3 linked regions of the Caenorhabditis elegans genome follow. The protein of the gene in region 2 interacts with the protein of the main gene of each other region in a pairwise test. Each region holds a gene or a part of one and is shown on either strand. Other genes may lie near its edges. The genes, in order: gpb-1, eat-16 and gpb-2.

Region 1 (7,100 bases), on a different chromosome or scaffold from region 2:
CCAGAACGTTTCGCCGCTTTTTCATTTCCTGTGCCCATTCACATTTTAGACCCAAACACCAGCCATTAAGCCGTCTTGCGTCCTGCCACGTCACATCAAAGCCATTAATCTTCGATGGCAGTCTGGCTCGGTCAAAATTGGCCTATTTTTGTCTGAGAACTTTGTACAATTTTATTGGTTAAAAATGCTCGCACCACCTGCTGGAGGGCACCAGATGTCCCCTCGCCCAAAGCAATTAGAATTCTGCATTTAGCAAACAAAAGTTGAATCAATAATTCGCAGATCCAATGGTAGGAGAGAGAAAGAGTGAGCCGCGCCTTCTTCGCACAGATATATATTAGCTTTTGTCACGTTTTGCGCTCCTACCTGGGAGAGCCCAAGGTATTTGAACACGGAGAGCAATATGTTCCCTCAAAACTCAAATACCTGTGCCCCATCATTTCCTTCCTTAATTCCCTCATTTCATTCGACATTTGTGGTATTCAGTTTCTTTTCTTTCTTTTTTGTCATTGTTTTGTTCTTCCGCGCCACACACACACACACAGACCAACACTTTTACATTTTTTCCCGCCCGCTCCCCTTTTCCATCCCGCTTGGTCTGCGTCTCAAGGTTTGGTTTCTTTCTCGTACAGTGTTCCGCTCTCACGCCAGTTTCTGAATCGATCTATTGATTTTTTGAAAGTTAAAAATTTTGCTTAAAATTTCTGAAGCTTATGATTTTGGTTTGCAGACCGTCATTCTGTACTTCCTGATCAGCAGCTTGGTCTCACCGTCTTTGCCAAGTTGACGTCGGTCGAGGGGTTTTAATTAAAAGGGTTAGTGATATAGATTTCTTTCTAGTAGGTTTTTCATGTTTTGATCAAAAACATACCTTTAGTTTATTCTTATTTTATTATCTCACCTATAGGGATCCCTAGAGCTAATAATCTACTTCCAAAGTTCCTCTCTAAAGAATTAAATATTTTCCCGTCTAGTTATCGATTTTAGAATCGAACTATTTTATTAGATAAGTAAGACCAAAATGTGTTGTTTTTTCAAATATAGAATTCTGGAATCACTTATTTTTAAATTGAAAAAAATCCATTTTTTTCAAATTTTTGATTTTTACATAAATTACTTGATTACAATGAAACAATCAATAATTTTCTTCATTTTTTGATTGGTTTTCGCATTGAATATTCAATTTAAAACTTATTAATTAATTAATTAAATAAAAACAAAAAACATTGCGCGGCAATTAGCATGTGCTGGCCTACCGTAGTTTCTGCAAACACCGTGACGTCAATATGCACACTGTTGTTTTTCTTTGATTTTCTTTCCTTTTTTGACCTTTTTATCTTATTTTTTCTTATTTTCTCCACAGAAAATCTCTAAAAGCTTCGAAAACTTGAATTATTTTAACGATAAATTTAATTCCTTCATGAAAATAATCAAATTCTTGGAAAAAATCGATTTTTTCTGCTATTTCCTTCAAACTCTTTTTTTCTATCCAATAATTCTTAATTCACGCTTTTTTTTGCAGGCCCAGTTGTCGAGTGCAAGAACAAAGGCCACGAAGACGACGAATAGAGCAGCGCCGCCGTCGAAAACGCGAACACCGACCAGGAGCAGCATTAGCCGCAGCCGCATCCGTCGACACTTCCATCAGTACCATCCTCCGGAGCACGCACCACCACCAGCAGCAAGATGAGCGAACTTGACCAACTTCGACAGGAGGCTGAACAGCTGAAGTCGCAGATTCGGGTGAGTAAATCTGTGTTTTTTTTTATTTTTTAAAATATTTTTTAAACTAATAATTGCAGTAATCTCTCGTTCCAGAGCATGGTCTAGCAATTGTTTGAATATGCGAAATATGAGAAATACACGCATTTATATATTTATACACACACATATACACACATACATATACAAATTGTTGGTAATAAGTAAAGCGCTCCCCTTCCAACGATGCCGCCGCCGCCGCCATCGGCGTTGTTTTTGCGCCGTACTTGAGGGGACGTGCTGCTGCACTGGATGTGTATAACACGATGGTCGTCGTCCCCCAGCCGTCGTCGTCTTCTTTTCTTCTTCTTCTACCCGCCATCGCCGCTGCAAAATATCGATCAGTAGCAGAAGTTGTTGCTCCACACACGCAGGCCGCGGCGAGCCATTGGCCGAGATGGGGTCGCCCCTGGTGGGGGCACTGAGACGAGGAGAAGCTGGAGCAGCAGCAGAAGCAGCGAGCGAGCGAGGAGAATAGATTGGCTGCCTAATGTGAGATTGTCGGCGTCTCCGGCTCTTGTTCCACTATTTTCCCGGGGCCCCGCCGCCGAATGCTCTCAATTTCTGCCGCTACTGCTGGCCAAGAGCACGAGAGAGAGAGAGAGAGATCTCTCGCAGTCTCTCTTCTGCGCAAGCTCCACTCGTGTCGTAGTGCGCCATTCTCCCTTGAGGACTCTGCTGCCGTCGTCGTCGTCGTTGTCGTTGTCATCGCGTCGCTCACTAGAATTGGTGGTAGCTCCTGCTCCGACGAGCACTCACACACACACACATGGTTGTGCGTGTGCGCGAGCACAAAATGTTGCGCGGGGTTTGGTGAAGCTCTCGTGGTGCTGAAAACGGGGTGAGCTGGCCTGGAGCGAGGAGGGGCAGCAGAGATAGAAAATACACTGAATTGGTGTTAATTAAATGCACAAAACATTTATGGAAGTGGAAGATTTTTCGCTTCAAAAATACAGTCCCCGGTCTCGAAGCGACAAATTTTTGTGAAAAGATTACTGTAATTTCAAATTCGGGAATTTTCAGCAATTTTCCATATTATGTGGACGTCTAAAAATGAGAGGTTCTGATCCCCCATGTCGATTTACGGGGCACTATTGCATCATCTCAAACTGTCCATTTAATGTGTTTAATGTATGCAAAAATATGTAATAACAGCCCGTAAATCGACAATTCGTGGCGAGACTCATGTGGCAAAAAACCTCATATATATCCGTCTAGATAATAGTTTTTCTCTCGATTTTATAAAAATTTATGTTTTTTAGTTGAAAACTATGAAAAATCGATGAAAATTCCTAGAGTGGAAATTACAGTAATTTTTATAAAAATTTAAGGCCCGAATTTACAGATTTTGAAGTAAAAAGTTGTAAAAACCAATAATTTGAAGTTTTTCATAATTAAAAAAAAAACAAAATAAATTAATTTTTTGCAGGAAGCCCGGAAATCAGCAAATGACACAACACTGGCCACCGTCGCTTCAAATCTGGAGCCAATTGGCCGCATTCAGATGAGGACGAGACGTACGCTTAGGGGACATTTAGCCAAGGTAGGGCTTTCAGACTTTTTCTAGTCATAAAATCGATAAATTTTGCAGATTTATGCAATGCACTGGGCATCAGACAGTCGCAATTTGGTGTCAGCTTCACAAGACGGAAAGCTCATCGTTTGGGACTCGTACACCACAAATAAAGTGAGTTTTTTTTGACGATTTTCAATTGTTTTTTTTTTGATAAAAAAAGAAAAAATTTAAAGAAATTAATTTGCATTTTTTTTCCAGGTTCATGCAATTCCCTTGAGATCATCGTGGGTGATGACTTGTGCCTATGCTCCATCGGGATCGTTTGTCGCTTGTGGAGGTAAGCTGAAGGATTACTCATTGTATTCAAATTTTCCGGAGAGATTACTGGGAAATCTGGGTTTCTATTGAGAATTTGAATCTCGTAAATCTACACGAGCAAAATTCAAATTTTTTAAAATAAAAAGTAACAATTCTCAATTTTTCCAGGTCTCGACAACATTTGCTCAATTTACTCGCTGAAAACACGCGAGGGAAACGTGCGGGTGTCTCGTGAGCTTCCAGGACATACTGGATACTTGTCGTGTTGTCGATTCCTTGATGACAACCAAATTGTCACCTCTTCCGGAGATATGACTTGGTGGGTTTTTTTTTTGAAAAATTTCATTTTTTTTAATTAAAGAAAAATCCTATAAAAAATCATAAATTATCAACTAGTTTCTACTTTTCATTTTTTTTTTTCCGCGTAATTTGAGCATCAGTGTATAGCCAGAGCACACAAAAGTAGAAGAAGTGCGAAGGAGAAATTCGGATGTTGAATGTTGATGAGTTTGTTTTCAAACTGGGCTCTTTTTGTGCCGCTTGATGAAATTGAGGTGGAGAGAAGCAAAGAACGTGTGAATAAAAGACAGAAAGAGCACAAAAGTCGGCCCGCGAAAAATGTAAATTTTCGGACTTCAAAATTTTACAAGTCTATTGTTAAATTGTGATCTCTAGACGTGTAGTTTGTACTTTGAAAAGTTTAAAAAAATTCCAGTTTGAAAATGTAAGAAAGATTTCAGATAACTTCCAAAATTTATCTCGTGATTCTGCAAAATTTCAGATTTTTTAAAGCCACACGCTATTTTCCGATTGGGTCTCGCCACGAAAAAAAAAGAAGTTTGTAAAGTTTCAAATTCTAAAGTGCAAATTGCATTTTAGAGTTTAAAATTTCATTTTCTACACCAAATTAACAAATCTGAGAAATTTGGCGCCTGTAGCGGCCACTATGATCGTGGCGAGACCCACTTTTCAAACCGGCATGTGCCTTTAACCTCTACCATATCATATAATATCACTTTTTCGTAAATTATCCTAATTCTCCAATTTTTTTTCCAGCGCTCTATGGGACATTGAAACCGGACAACAGTGCACCGCGTTCACCGGTCACACTGGTGACGTCATGTCGCTTTCACTTTCTCCAGACTTCCGCACATTCATCTCAGGAGCCTGTGACGCTTCGGCGAAGGTATAGGATTTTTGAAAAGTTGATTTTTTTTTAAATTTTTTAAATTTCAGTTGTGGGATATCCGAGACGGCATGTGCAAGCAAACGTTCCCAGGACACGAGTCAGACATCAACGCTGTTGCCGTAAGTTTTATTATTTTGAAGATTTTTCAAAAAAAAATCAATTTTTTGCAGTTCTTCCCATCCGGAAACGCGTTCGCCACCGGATCCGACGATGCGACATGCCGATTGTTCGACATTCGTGCTGATCAGGAACTTGCCATGTATTCTCATGATAATATTATTTGCGGAATCACTAGTGTCGCATTCTCAAAATCGGGTCGCCTGTTGTTCGCCGGATACGACGACTTCAACTGCAATGTTTGGGATTCGATGCGACAGGAGAGAGCTGGTGAGTGCCTTTAGCTCCTTTTTTTGAAATTTTCCAAGTTGAAAGTGATGAAAAACTAATTGTTCTTCCAATTTCAGGAGTATTGGCTGGTCACGATAACCGAGTTTCTTGTCTAGGAGTCACCGAGGACGGTATGGCCGTGTGCACAGGATCATGGGACTCGTTCCTCAAGATCTGGAATTAAGAAACATCAAATGTCTTCCTTAATTATTCTCCAATTATTGATTGAATGATGATGACACTACGTGGCAATTTTTTTCCCCATTTTCCCCAATTTTTTTCCGCTCTTGAAACCCCCCTGTTGTTCTCATTCTTTCGTCGCTATCCGCTATCCCGGCGCCCTCTTCCGCGTGCCCGGATCTCTTTTTCTTCTCTCACCTCTTCTCATCGCTTTTTGTTCGGTACTTTCTAGTCTCTCTTCAATCGCCCTCCCCATATTACTTTCCTTGACGTTTGTTCGAATTTTCTCATCAATTTTTTTTACTATGTGAAAATTATTATTATAGCAATTCTCAACTCTCTCTCTCTCATTTATTTTTATTTCACATTTTCTGTGTCTCCCCGCCCCCCGCGAAGCTTAATCTTTCTTCCTCTTTCACCACTCACTTTAGTCACAGACACATACACATGCGCGCGCTCTCTTTCTCTCCCCGATCGTATTCTACTAACATGATATTCATGCTACGACAAAAAATTTTATATATATGTAAGACAAATTTGTGCTCGGCGAGCAAGATATACAGTGATGGAGCCACGCGCGCGGAGTACAATTTTGAAATCGAAAAGCGAACGCCACGCGCATCACTAATCCTAAAACCCCCACATCAAGAAAAGCACAATATGAGATCCATTCTAATTATTATTTCCTCCCGATATATAATTATTTAAGCTTCTTTTTTTCTCTATTTCTGGTATCATCTTCTCTCATTTCTCGTCTTCTACACTAATTTAATTGACTCCCCCCACAAATCTTCACCTCTTTTTTTTGTCTTCTATGTATCCCATCGATCCCTTTCCAGACCGTTTTCAACTTTTTCACACACACAAAACCCCCTAAGTTTTTTTTTCTAATTTCTTTTAATTCTCCTACCACCGTGATTTTGTAAGTTCTTCCGATCGCAAAATTAAAGATAAAAAAGTTCTCATTTATTCGGATAGCTGCCACTTCTTTTCCTCTCTTCTCCCCCTCAACCCCCCACATCTGTTTAATCCATCACAATTCTTGAAAAATGAACATCCCCCATCCCCCCATCTCTTCTTTTCCCCAAAACACCCAAAAAATCTTATTTCCCTTTTTATTCTTTTTTATTGTTTCAATTTCCAAATTCTTATAAATTGCTGGAACCTTATAACCTCTTGTGAGCTCAGTTTTTCAGACATTTATTTCAAAATTATTATCATTGTTCTCCTAACGATTAGAAGGCCTTGTTGAACAGGAACGATTGGATGATGTGCTCGGCGACGGCTGGCTTGTCGGTTGGTACCATGTGTCCGGCTCCGCGAACAGTGGCGAATGTCACCTGGGATCCCTTGTACTGTGTCACGTATCCACCGATTTGACCCTTCACAGTGAAGTGGGTCTTCTTCTTGGAGAGCTGGAAATTAAATTATGGAATTTTTACAAAACATTAAAAATCTTGGGTCTCGCAGCGATTGAGAGCTTATTGTTTAAAAATACGGTACCCGGTGTCTCGACACGACAATTTTTATGAATGCAAAACGATGTGCGCCTTTAAAGAGTAATATTTTCAAAAAAATAATTTTCGATGAAAAATCCGCAGCAACGGAAGTTTGAAACTACAGTACTCTTTAAAGGCGCACAGCTTCGCTCATTCAACAAAAATTTATCGTGTCGAGACCCGGCGCCGTATTGTTTGGAAAAACTTTGGGTCTGGATAATATATAGATATCTTTTTATTGAAAAAAGCA
Region 2 (5,780 bases):
TGATGAACAAATACGATGTGACCGTCTAGTTGTCTCGTCACTCTCCTATTGCCAGTTCTCTCTATCTCTCTTTAGTGTGCAAACACCGAATTGAACACCGTATCCATCAACACATTTCGAACCTATTCAGTTTTCCCAGCAATATAATACACAGTTTATGGGTTGTTTATATTCAAGTTTCTCCGTCTTTTTCTATTGGAAATGAAAGATGATAACTCTGCGAGCGAAAAGATGATCGGAGGTCGATTCGCATGAATTTCCCATCGGAAAATTGAAAATCAGTATTGATTGAAACAGGAAGAACCACAAACGAATGTGTTAATTTATCACTCTTTATTATGACGATTTGTTCTGAATCTGGAACATAAAACTCTGATTAATAAAACCAATAAATTTATTATTTTATTTATTCCGCAATTACTTTCTTTTTTTTTTTGATTTGACAACCCAAATTATATTTTGGAAATTCTATTGAACTTTCTATTTATTTTCTAATCAACGTCGAAAACCGGTAGATCCTGCTGTGATGCCTAAATTCTGTACAGATTTCTCAAAATTTTTAGCAGATTTTAAGCGGATTTTAAGCGGATTTGAGATTTTCCCAAATTTTTTTTAAGTACTGAAAATTTCAAAGAGAATCAGCAATCGACGGAAGAATGTTGATCCATTTGCAGAAGAAAACCGAGCAGTCAAATATCCCAAAAGATTACTGAAACTATTGTGTAATCAATTTTCAATGCCCTGAACGAATATTAAAATCAGAATCAAAGATCGTTGACAATGTTCGCAATAGTTGAAATACGAAACAATCAACCCGTTTTTCACTTTTTTGACATTTTTTCTCCAAAAAAAAAGCTAGATGAGGGGAAGAGTAGAAAGTAGTAGTATCCTTCGCCTACCACCACTACCAAAAAGCAACACACACCATATACATGTTGAAGAGACTGAGATGTTAAAGGGAAAAGAAGAAGAAGCTCGTTGTCGCTGTCGTCGTCTTCGAAGCCGTAGCACATCGAAATTGAATAAAAGGGGAAAGAAGTGGACACAAGAGACGCAGAAGAATGAGAAGAAGCCTGGAATACTGCTTCTACTGCTGATTGTGACAACTCGAGACGACGAGATCGATCCGTGAAGTGAAAAGAAGGAGAAGCAGCAGCAGTAGCAGCACACGCACACACTCACTCACGCATCTCTGACACACACATGCACACACATAGAGGGCTCTCGAAGCCCTCTCGGAGCCACAGAGTAATTGAGAGAGTGAGAGACGTTAGACTGCTCGATTATTGGAAATCATTGGGCTGTAGGGGACCCGGCGACTAGGCAGAGAAGGGAAGGCGCCGCTCTCGTCGCCTGCGCTATTGACTTTGCCTGTCTGCGTTTGAATTCAGGAAGACAGCTTCGTCGTATGTCTCACATTCTCACTCAAAATCCACACTCACACACACACGCGCACAAACCCTCACTCTCCTCACCCGCTCACATATACACACATAAGCACCCCCTCGCCCCCCTCTCCGCCCACCACGCACCACAGCAGTCCCCCATCCCCGGAGAAGAAAGAAATAGAGAACGAGAGAGTCAGAGAACTAGAGATCTAAGCATTTTGGCCTTACTATTTTATTATTTTTCATTCCTATCATCTCCATCATCGTTTACTGATCTGCAACCGTATGATACAGTTCTCAAATATTCAATTTGCAGATTATTATTCTAATATTTAATTCAAAAATATCAAAAGCTGTCGAGCTGATTGAGACACGCTGCTCTCAAACCCCGCATTTTGTATGATGCCACCGTTGACCAAGGTATTTCATTTGAAGTTCAATTTTCTTAAAATTTCTTTTGAAAATTTTAGATCGAGGTGCTCGCGAAGCGAGTGATGGAAGGTGCGCAATTGAAAACGCATAAATACTTCCGGATCGCCGTGCCTCATGCCATCACCGGTCAGCAATTGATAGCTCTCGTTCTTGAGCGAGTGAGTTTACTTTCCTCTCAAATACAGCAGGAGCACTTATTTGAAAACTTATAAAGCTTCTGACAAGAAAATCACAAAAATTATGAAAATAAATTTTTAATTTTTAACAGGGTGCTCCTGACGATGAGGCTGAAGCGAGTCATCTGGCAAGTTTGTTACTTCACCACGGTTACATGTTTCCAGTTATCGAACATGTAAGTTAAAGACTGCAGTTTTTCAGTGTTTAACTTAAGTATTTTAAATTAAAAATTAATTCAGGGCCAACCTTTCAAAGACGATGGAACGTTATACAGGCTTCAAAGGCCGTATTTTTGGCCTTCACAGGCTGAACTGGTTCCGGATGTTGAATATGGTAATTCCAAGAAAAGTTATTGTATCTGATCCACTATATTTCAGCCATTTACCTCAACAAGCGATTGCTCCGAAATGAGCAAAAACACGGGTTAGAAGAAGATGAAGTTGAGTCATTCAACAGGTATGGGACATTATTTCGGACATTAGGAAAAATTATTTAGTCAGAAAATATTGAACAATCCTCACGACTTAGAAATAAATTGGTAAAGCTTCGCCAAGAAATCTTACTGAGATCACGAAAAATGTCAAAGTGTACAGAGATTAGTTTTGGCATTTTTATGATTTCAGTTTTGGAGTCGAAAGCTATTATTTTTAACCTTTTAAAAATTGGGTTTTTAATTTTTTGAACGTGCATCGCTGCAGAATGAAAAATCGAAATAATAATTTAATTTTTTTTAGATTATTGAGTTATCTTTCTCGAAATCTGAAAGTTATCTCTGGTGATAGAAAAGTATTTTGAATTTTCAATACATATGGCATTCAAAAATAAATTTTCAGACTTGCCGATGTTCTCGCACACATGTGGGCTTTCATCGTTCAACAGTCTGAGCTTCAATTGAAGCAGCAAAAAGAAAAAAAGAAAGTGGACAAGGTAGTGTTCGATTCAGAAGAACGAGCGTTTTGGAAGATACGAAAACCAAGTCGTGGTGGACCAAATTTCCTAGAGGACCCTTATATGAAAATAGAAAAGAAAATACGACGGCAGAATGCACAAGGTTATAGATGTCTTATGGATCGATTACGATTTGCAATCAAGACAAAGCCATGGCTAAAAGCATTAAAAGCATCGGATACGTGAGTATATTCAATCCAATTGTAAACTTTTCCTAGCTGAATCGAATCAAAATATGTATTATTAAGATTGAATTTCGAACTGATAATGGATCAGATATCAAAAGACAATAGATTCAATTAAATAATTCGTGTTTCAGAATGGTGACGTGGGTTGACCAAAGAGCTGAATTCGATCCATTCCTTCACCCTCCACAACCATCCAATCCATGGATCAGTGATGAAGCTTCATTTTGGAATCAGCCTACTGACACGTAAATTATTATTTAATCTTTAATCTTTATTGCAAATACTTTTTCAGGTCAAGTGCCGAGATCCCTACCGAGAAACGGGTAAAACGATGGGGACTTTCTGTTCAAGAGCTTGTGAAAGATCCTATAGGACGGCAAGTGCTCGAAACATTTTTAGAATCCGAATTTTCGTCGGAAAATATACGGTTCTGGATAGCGATACAAGATTTGAAATATGCACCGAATGAGCAGATATACCAGAAAGCTGAAAGAATACGAGAAGAATTTTTGGCTCAAGGAGCACCTGCACAAGTAAATGTAGACAATAGAACCCTCGATCAGACATTGGAGTGTATTTCGAAAGCGAAAGATGCTTCACAAATGAGATTCGCATTCTATCATTCTGAAGAGCACGTGTTCACATTGATGGCAAAGGATTCATATCCACGTTTCGTCCGATCCCAAATCTACAAAGCAGTATTGACAGCAGCGCAACAGCACGGAACAAAGCGACTCGGGTGGCGCAACTTCGTATTCAACATGGGTACAACTAAAAAACCAGCAACGAGTAAACCAGCAAAGGCAAGATTTTCCAGGAAATTATGTATGAAAACTTTGATATCTTCAGCCGCAAGATTCCATCGGGACTGGTCAAGTTCTCCCAAAACAGCTATCGTCCGACTCGCTGCCAGTTCGACAGGCTCATGGGGTCAAGTAAGTTGTGGAAATATGTCAGAAAAATCTATTAAAATGGGACAATCCTACCACACGAACAATTAACTCCAAAACTGTTAAATTTATATATTAGTTAAGCTTTTGTTCAAATAGGATAAACTGGCGATATACACCTTTAAATATCGGCTAGTTTTTTTTGAGTTAGTATTCCCAATCATTTTTTCTGTAACCTGTTGGTGCTTAAATCTCCTGTCTTGGCAGTTGCCATGAGATTTTTTGGCCAAAGACTAATGACTCAAATCCATCAAAGCTAAACTCATGACCTACTCTCTTCAGCTCATTTCTTTATTTTGCAGACCGGATCCCGAATGACGTCATTCTCTTCTCACATCTCGTTTCTCTTTTCTGCGTGTACGTACGTGTCTGCGTCTCTCTGTATATTCTTTTTCACTTTTCCCTCTTCTTTCTCAAAAAAAAAACCAAATCAAATAACGACCATCAAAAAGGGAAATCAGTATCCTCTGCATCGGTTTTACACGCAAATTTAAATATTTCGAAGCGAACCATTTGATATGTGTATTATCAATGAACTTCTTCTCAAAATTAACAATCTCGAACCACCCAACACTGCATATTTTGACCTTATTTTCTCTTCCAAATCGATCGATAATACATGTAATTCCACAGTCTCTTCAGACTCTTCTAGTCCATCATAATCCACATCTCCTGCCAGCTTCTTCTTCATTTTCACGATATACTAATTTGTAATCCTATTTTCTCACAAAAACGTGTACAAAGTGTTATATTTCTTTCTATTACCCATATTATTTTAATCTTTTCAGAAAATCAATTTTTGTTTCCCTCATTCATTTCACACAGAGTTCTCCTGCTTTTTTGGCACACTTCTCGTTTTTTTTTCAAAATTTTAAAAGTATCTGTAAGGTACCGCTAGCGTATTTAGGTGTTTCAACCTAACTTTTTTCAATTATATCTACTCAAAAATAATTTGATTTGAAAATGGTAATTCGCACCAAAAATGACGATATCATAACGTCTCAGTTCTTTTTTTTTCCAAAAATCATATATAAATTTCATTTTCTCTTACCCTCTACCTGGTGTGATTGTCTCAAAAAAATCAACTTTCAGAACCGGAGTTGTTACATAATATATTATTAATGTGTCAGTATATCATTATTTTCAGCTTTTTGTAGGCGTTGATGTTCAATAAAATTATTTATTCTTATTTTTATGTCTGTGTTACACCTTAATATATATTCGAAACTATGGGGAACTCTGGGAATAAGAAACACAAGGAAAGGGTTTTTTGAAGAATAAAAATTTCTTATATTACATAGATGTCTGAAGATGAAAATTTTGCGGGAAAAAACAACCAAAATGTGCTACGACACGGGAAATTTTTGGAACAATAGAGATTTTGAATAAATTTACAGAATACCGATTATGAGCACGAACGGATTCCGCAACGGATCACCCAAAATCAAACAGTGGGAAAAGGTTTTAGTTCACTTCCATTAATAAAATTGTCTGGATATATCTAATCTTCCAATTTACAGAAAATCCAATATGTATTAAAAATTCACAACGAAAACCCGGGGACCCGGGGAAAACTATTGATTTATCAAAATTATGTTGATTTTTCGAAGAGAAAAAATATAAATAATTTCTTTTTTTTTAAATTGAACCTTTTCCCCGGAAAAATCAAAAAACAGACACCATTTTTTTGGTACTAT
Region 3 (5,045 bases), 2.4 Mb from region 2:
TACGTCAAATCGATTGAGCCACTCACGATCAGAAGGAGTCCATTGGCATGCCCACTTCCAGTTGTCGGACAAGCTTGCCCAGAAGAGAACGTTTTCTGGTACTTCAAGTGCTGCGGACAGATTGCTGATCAGTGTTGCTTCCGTCTTCAGGTAATAATTCATTTTTCAAAAGATCTGCTGAAATTTAAATATGTTAATTTCTAAATTTGTTTCTTTCAGGATTGGGTTACTGTTCTTCTTCTCTTCCTTGCCGTCTGCACGATTCTCTCGATCATCATCAACTGCGTCAGATGCTTCTGCTGCGCATAAGTATTTGACTTATAATTTTCACATTTCTTCATCAAATCTTCGGGGCAACAGTTTTATCAAAATTTCCACTTTTCTCTTTATAACCAATTCACTGAATTTCTTCCTTTTAATATTCTCTGATAATTTGCCATACGTTGCTCATTGAATACTCTACTTTCCACACTTCTTTCTTTTTTGTTATGTAATTTTCCTTTCCTCACAGTTCACCCTTGCCTTTTTGAATTGTATTTTAACAGGTGTATTTAGTGAATTCTATTTACATCATTCAGCAATGAACGAGTACTTTACAGTATTTGTGACTAGAAAGTTGAGATAGGAGAAAATAGTGGGATGGTTAGATAATAGTACAGGGATAGAGACTGGTGGGAAGGGGGATGAGTAAAGTGACATAAAGCTCAAAAATTGTAAGAGAAAAATTAATATTAAATAATCAAGCCCAAATGCGAATTGTGCAATCCCAGCTCGCCGAGCAGACGGCTGTTCCATCAGGAGAAGTTCGGAGGCAACTAATACGATTCTCATGTCCATAAAGTACTGAATGACGGGCGCATTTCAGCGAATCCCATACACCGACACGATAATCACCATAACCAGCAAATAGAATACGACCTGTAATTTTTTAATAGTTAGAGTGAAAAGTTTAGTTCTGTGAATTTCAGAGATGCATTGAATTGATTTGGACTATACGTTTTTGTGAAGATTTAAACGTACCGCTCAAACTGAAATCGACTCCATTTACGGGGAACAAGATTGATTCTTTTTCATACACACATACTTGACGATCTGCTCGAAGATCGAATAAGCGACACTGGAAAAAGTAATATTTTCAGACAAAACAAGCAACTCTCGCGACTTTCTCCCAAACTATAATTTTCGAAAAATGGAAGAATAACCGTGAAATTTAATTAAGATTCTCTTGCACGGCCATGTGTCGATTTACGCAGCTCGTGTACTCCCCGAGGAGAAGTGGGCATATTGTCACTTCTTCTCGAGGAGTACACTAGCTGCGTAATTCGACACATGGTCGTGCAAGGCTTCCATAATTTCCCATCCCTTCTCCAATTTTCAATAATGAAGAAGTTTAAACACTTGTGACTTACAGTAGCATCATCAGATCCAGTTGCAAATGCATCACCATTTGGATGAAATCGAACAGTATTAATATCAGCTTCATGTCCTTCAAATGATTGTACACATTGTCCTGAACGAATATCCCATACAAGAGAATGTTTGTCAGCTCCTGCGGAAATAAATGTATTTCCAGTATCACATTTTGGAACATCGATTGCAAATACATCACCAGTATGACCATGGAAATTCTGAATTTTTGAATTGGGTTTCCGATTCGCGAGAATAAAAAACCTGAATAAGTTGTCCACTTTCAACATCCCAAATAGCACATGTTGAATCTCCACTTCCAGTTAAAATAAGATTATCCGAACGAAGGAATGTACAACATGACATATAAGAAGTATGAGTTGCTACTTGTCTTTTCTTTTGAATTATATCATCTTCAAAAGAAAGTGGAACGACACTGCATTTATTATCAAGTCCTCTGTAAAATTGGAATTTTTGAAAATTCAAAAAATAATAATAAAAATTTTTAATTAATAACATGAAAGCTTCAAAATTGGTAAAGTATACATGAGCCAATTTTTGAAAATTCCGTCTGTAAGAGCTCTTTTATAATTTGAAAAAAAAAACAATAAATTCTCATGAACACTATAAGTCCGTGTACTACCGTTTGTATTTTTTGAAAGCTTTGAAGTATTTGAAAGAAATCTTACCCGCAAGCGATCATTTGACTCGATGGAGAGAATGCACATGCCATAACCCAAGTTGTTGGCATCGTAAGAGCATGTTCCTTATTCGTAGTAAATCCATCCCATACAATCACTTTCCCGTCCTAAAATTTACTAATTTGAGCAAATTCATTTTAGAAATCGAGGTTTCAATTTTTGAAGACTACTGAATCTTTTGTAAGTCATATTTTAAACCAACCTGAGATGAAGAGACGATATGTCTTTTATCCAATGACCAATCCATGCATAATACTTTTCCCACGTGTCCTTTTAAAATTCGACGCTGTTTTACACCAAGAGCTCCCATAACGTCAAGTCGTTCGGCTGCTTGTTGAACTGAAAATTACTTAGGATGTAAAAAACTACTTAGTGCGTTTTGGGATTACTGTAGTTCTTGGTAATAGTAAATTAGGCATAACCTCAAAAAAGTCAAAGAGAAAACATTTAGAATTATGCAAATATCACAAAGCATATCTGGTATCTTTTTGTTCATCAAATTATTTAACTCAAATTTCTTTAAAGTTTTCAAAAACTTTTTTCAACTTTTTTCAGTCAAACAAGTTCTCAAAAAGTCCAACTTCACCTAGATTTGACAATTTACCAAAACTTAGACGTAATTTTTGGTGTGTATTGATATTTGGGCAATTATAATATTCGGTTATGAAGAACCGCATTGATATTTTTATTCAATATCCTCACTGATTGTGAGCTTTTAATTCAAAAGTTTATTTTTTCAATAAAAAAACAAAGAAAAAAGACTCCGGAGGATTTCTAACCTAGGAATTGTAAAGTTCAATTTTTTAGTAGTGTTCTTCTTCAAAGTCCCTCTTTTTAAATTGAAGTATTCTAATAAATTATCTTTTTAATTTTTTTCAAATACTTACTAGGAATGTCATTAAGCTTGTGCCTCTCTTGATCCAATTTCTTTCTAAGCTCTTCGGCTTCATTTGCCAATTGTTCTAAATATTCCGATCTGAAATAATGTAGTGTAACCCTTTGTAATGTAAAATGTACAAATACCCTTTTTCGGTTGTTGTTGGCTGAGAGTTTTCTGGCATTTTCGACGAGGAAGACGATTCTCCAGCAATGGTGCTCATTCAAATTGCGTTTCTTTTTGAGATCAGAAGACGAATTATGCAAAAAAAGGAAGAGAAGACTGAGGGTTGAAGAAAATGAATTTGAATAGAACAATTAGAGATGGGCGGTTTGTTTGAGGTTTAGAGGCACATTTTTCCTGAAACATTGCTATTAAAAAAATAAGTTTGAAGTAGCCAAATTCTTAAAGGACATGCCTAGAAATGTAAGAAATATATAGGAAGATCAAGATCATTTACATGATTTTGGATTTTAATTTTTTATTTGAAACAACAAATTAGACAACAGTTTGGCACAATTGAAACGAGCACAATGTAAAAAGAATTTGATTTTAAACCAAAAACATGTTGATAAGGTAATTCAAAATATCGTACTACCATTACTATTAATTTATATTTGCCTAAGGTTTTGCAATGATCGGAGTTTCACACATTTTATAAGTAACGTTTATAAAAAATAAAAGTAAAAGCCTTTTTTGCAAAGTTATTCTGTTGAACATGCTCAAAAATAGGATGGATGTGGCTACATTATCATTAAATTATCATAAATTTGATGGTATTGATTAAGACAAAACTATATTCGCCACGACAAAAAGCCGTCGAGGGCCCGAAATCATGGTGCAATGAATTCTATTTGCGTGCCTTACTCCGCTATGTCTCGCTTCTCCCTCTTCACTATTTTCTCTATTTCTTTTCTCGTTTTGCCGAGCGGTCCTTTTTGCAATGGAAAGAGAATGCAATGCGGTCGCGTCGCGGTTTCTGGGAAAAAGATGAAAAGAGACGGAAGAGATGTGGAAAAGAGAGTGGCTCGAAGAACGGGATGAGTTAAAATTAGGCAATGCACATGTCTTGATGGTTTTTGTGAAGTGAAATTAATTATAAAAAAGTGCTAGGTTAGCTTAAAAGTTGAGTAAAACCAGTTTAAAAAGTCCCACAATCGTTTTAGGTTTTTTGAAAAAATAAGTTATGGAAAATTGTCAAATTTTTGCAACTTTATCCTTCGCAGGGAATAGCATTGTGGAATGCTCTAAAACCTACAATATTATAATAAAAAAAGGCATAAGAAAAATAGGAAACTCGTATAAAACATATTTTTCTGTCTACTTGCAGAGTTATGATGTGTGAAAATGAGAATTTACCACTTTTCGACAGCGCATAAACATATTCAACTTTTTTCTGAAAAGCTTTACTATGATATTGATAATTAACAATGTTATCACTATAGAAGTGGTTTAAATAAATTCCCCACTAAAACCAGAAATCTAGACTAGCTGTAGCTGTAAGACACTTCTTGTACACCGGTAGTTTCAGTGCCAATAATTTTAAGACTCAAAATATTTATTCAAGCGTAATATACAAGCAGAAAAAGTGAAAGACAGAAAAATTAATATCGAGAAACATTGTAGGCATCAGGTCGGTGAGCAGTTGCCGGAGCCGTCGACGAGGTATAATAACGATCTTCAGCAGAGAACATGACCTGATCACCAGGAACCATGACACGAGATATTTCAGAATCTCTTGGTGATGAGTCCACGTGGATTTGACGTGGAGCTTGACGAGTGTGTTGAATATAATTAGCATTACCAGGAATATTATCATAATTGACAGGAATTGGAACAGGAGCAGATTGGGCAATGATAGGAGATGAGACTAAACTGAAATATTGGCTATTTTTACTGAATTTTTTAGTTTGTATGTGAAGCAGTTAGAAATGTCTCAAATCTATGAAATTCAAGAAATTTGATTGAACTGAAATGCAATTTTGTCTAGAATATATCCACTGGAAAAATTAAAATTGACAAGTTGAAATACCTTGTTGAGTATTCTTTCTTTGATTTTT

What was found.
Region 1: the proteins of eat-16 (region 2) and gpb-1 interact in a two-hybrid assay, tested with the Caenorhabditis elegans proteins (one study listed by BioGRID).
Region 3: the proteins of eat-16 (region 2) and gpb-2 interact in a two-hybrid assay, tested with the Caenorhabditis elegans proteins (one study listed by BioGRID).

The regions. Positions count from the first base shown.
Region 1 is NC_003280.10:11,742,234-11,749,333, reverse strand, and holds gpb-1 (Guanine nucleotide-binding protein subunit beta-1), read left to right. Parts: upstream 1-1,683; 5' UTR 1,684-1,686; coding exon 1,687-1,743; intron 1,744-2,273; exon of another isoform or gene 2,274-2,411; intron 2,412-3,190; coding exon 3,191-3,304; intron 3,305-3,352; coding exon 3,353-3,448; intron 3,449-3,535; coding exon 3,536-3,614; intron 3,615-3,763; coding exon 3,764-3,914; intron 3,915-4,651; coding exon 4,652-4,781; intron 4,782-4,831; coding exon 4,832-4,903; intron 4,904-4,954; coding exon 4,955-5,171; intron 5,172-5,248; coding exon 5,249-5,355; 3' UTR 5,356-6,523; downstream 6,524-7,100. Other genes in the region: Serine carboxypeptidase ctsa-1.2, read right to left, coding at 6,587-6,766.
Region 2 is NC_003279.8:9,721,017-9,726,796, forward strand, and holds eat-16 (Regulator of G-protein signaling 7), read left to right. Parts: upstream 1-1,704; 5' UTR 1,705-1,787; coding exon 1,788-1,808; intron 1,809-1,858; coding exon 1,859-1,978; intron 1,979-2,088; coding exon 2,089-2,172; intron 2,173-2,236; coding exon 2,237-2,330; intron 2,331-2,374; coding exon 2,375-2,453; intron 2,454-2,830; coding exon 2,831-3,127; intron 3,128-3,264; coding exon 3,265-3,378; intron 3,379-3,425; coding exon 3,426-3,936; intron 3,937-3,950; coding exon of another isoform or gene 3,951-3,964; exon of another isoform or gene 3,965-3,982; coding exon 3,983-4,068; intron 4,069-4,385; coding exon 4,386-4,401; 3' UTR 4,402-5,268; downstream 5,269-5,780.
Region 3 is NC_003279.8:7,317,741-7,322,785, forward strand, and holds gpb-2 (Guanine nucleotide-binding protein subunit beta-2), read right to left. Parts: upstream 3,346-5,045; 5' UTR 3,209-3,345; coding exon 3,132-3,208; intron 3,085-3,131; coding exon 2,996-3,084; intron 2,448-2,995; coding exon 2,311-2,447; intron 2,216-2,310; coding exon 2,097-2,215; intron 1,865-2,096; coding exon 1,672-1,864; intron 1,629-1,671; coding exon 1,410-1,628; intron 1,118-1,409; coding exon 1,021-1,117; intron 919-1,020; coding exon 740-918; 3' UTR 550-739; downstream 1-549. Other genes in the region: F52A8.1 (DUF2650 domain-containing protein), read left to right, coding at 1-150, 220-309; F52A8.3 (uncharacterized protein), read right to left, coding at 4,590-4,855, 5,018-5,045. UniProt on the Caenorhabditis elegans protein: Guanine nucleotide-binding proteins (G proteins) are involved as a modulator or transducer in various transmembrane signaling systems.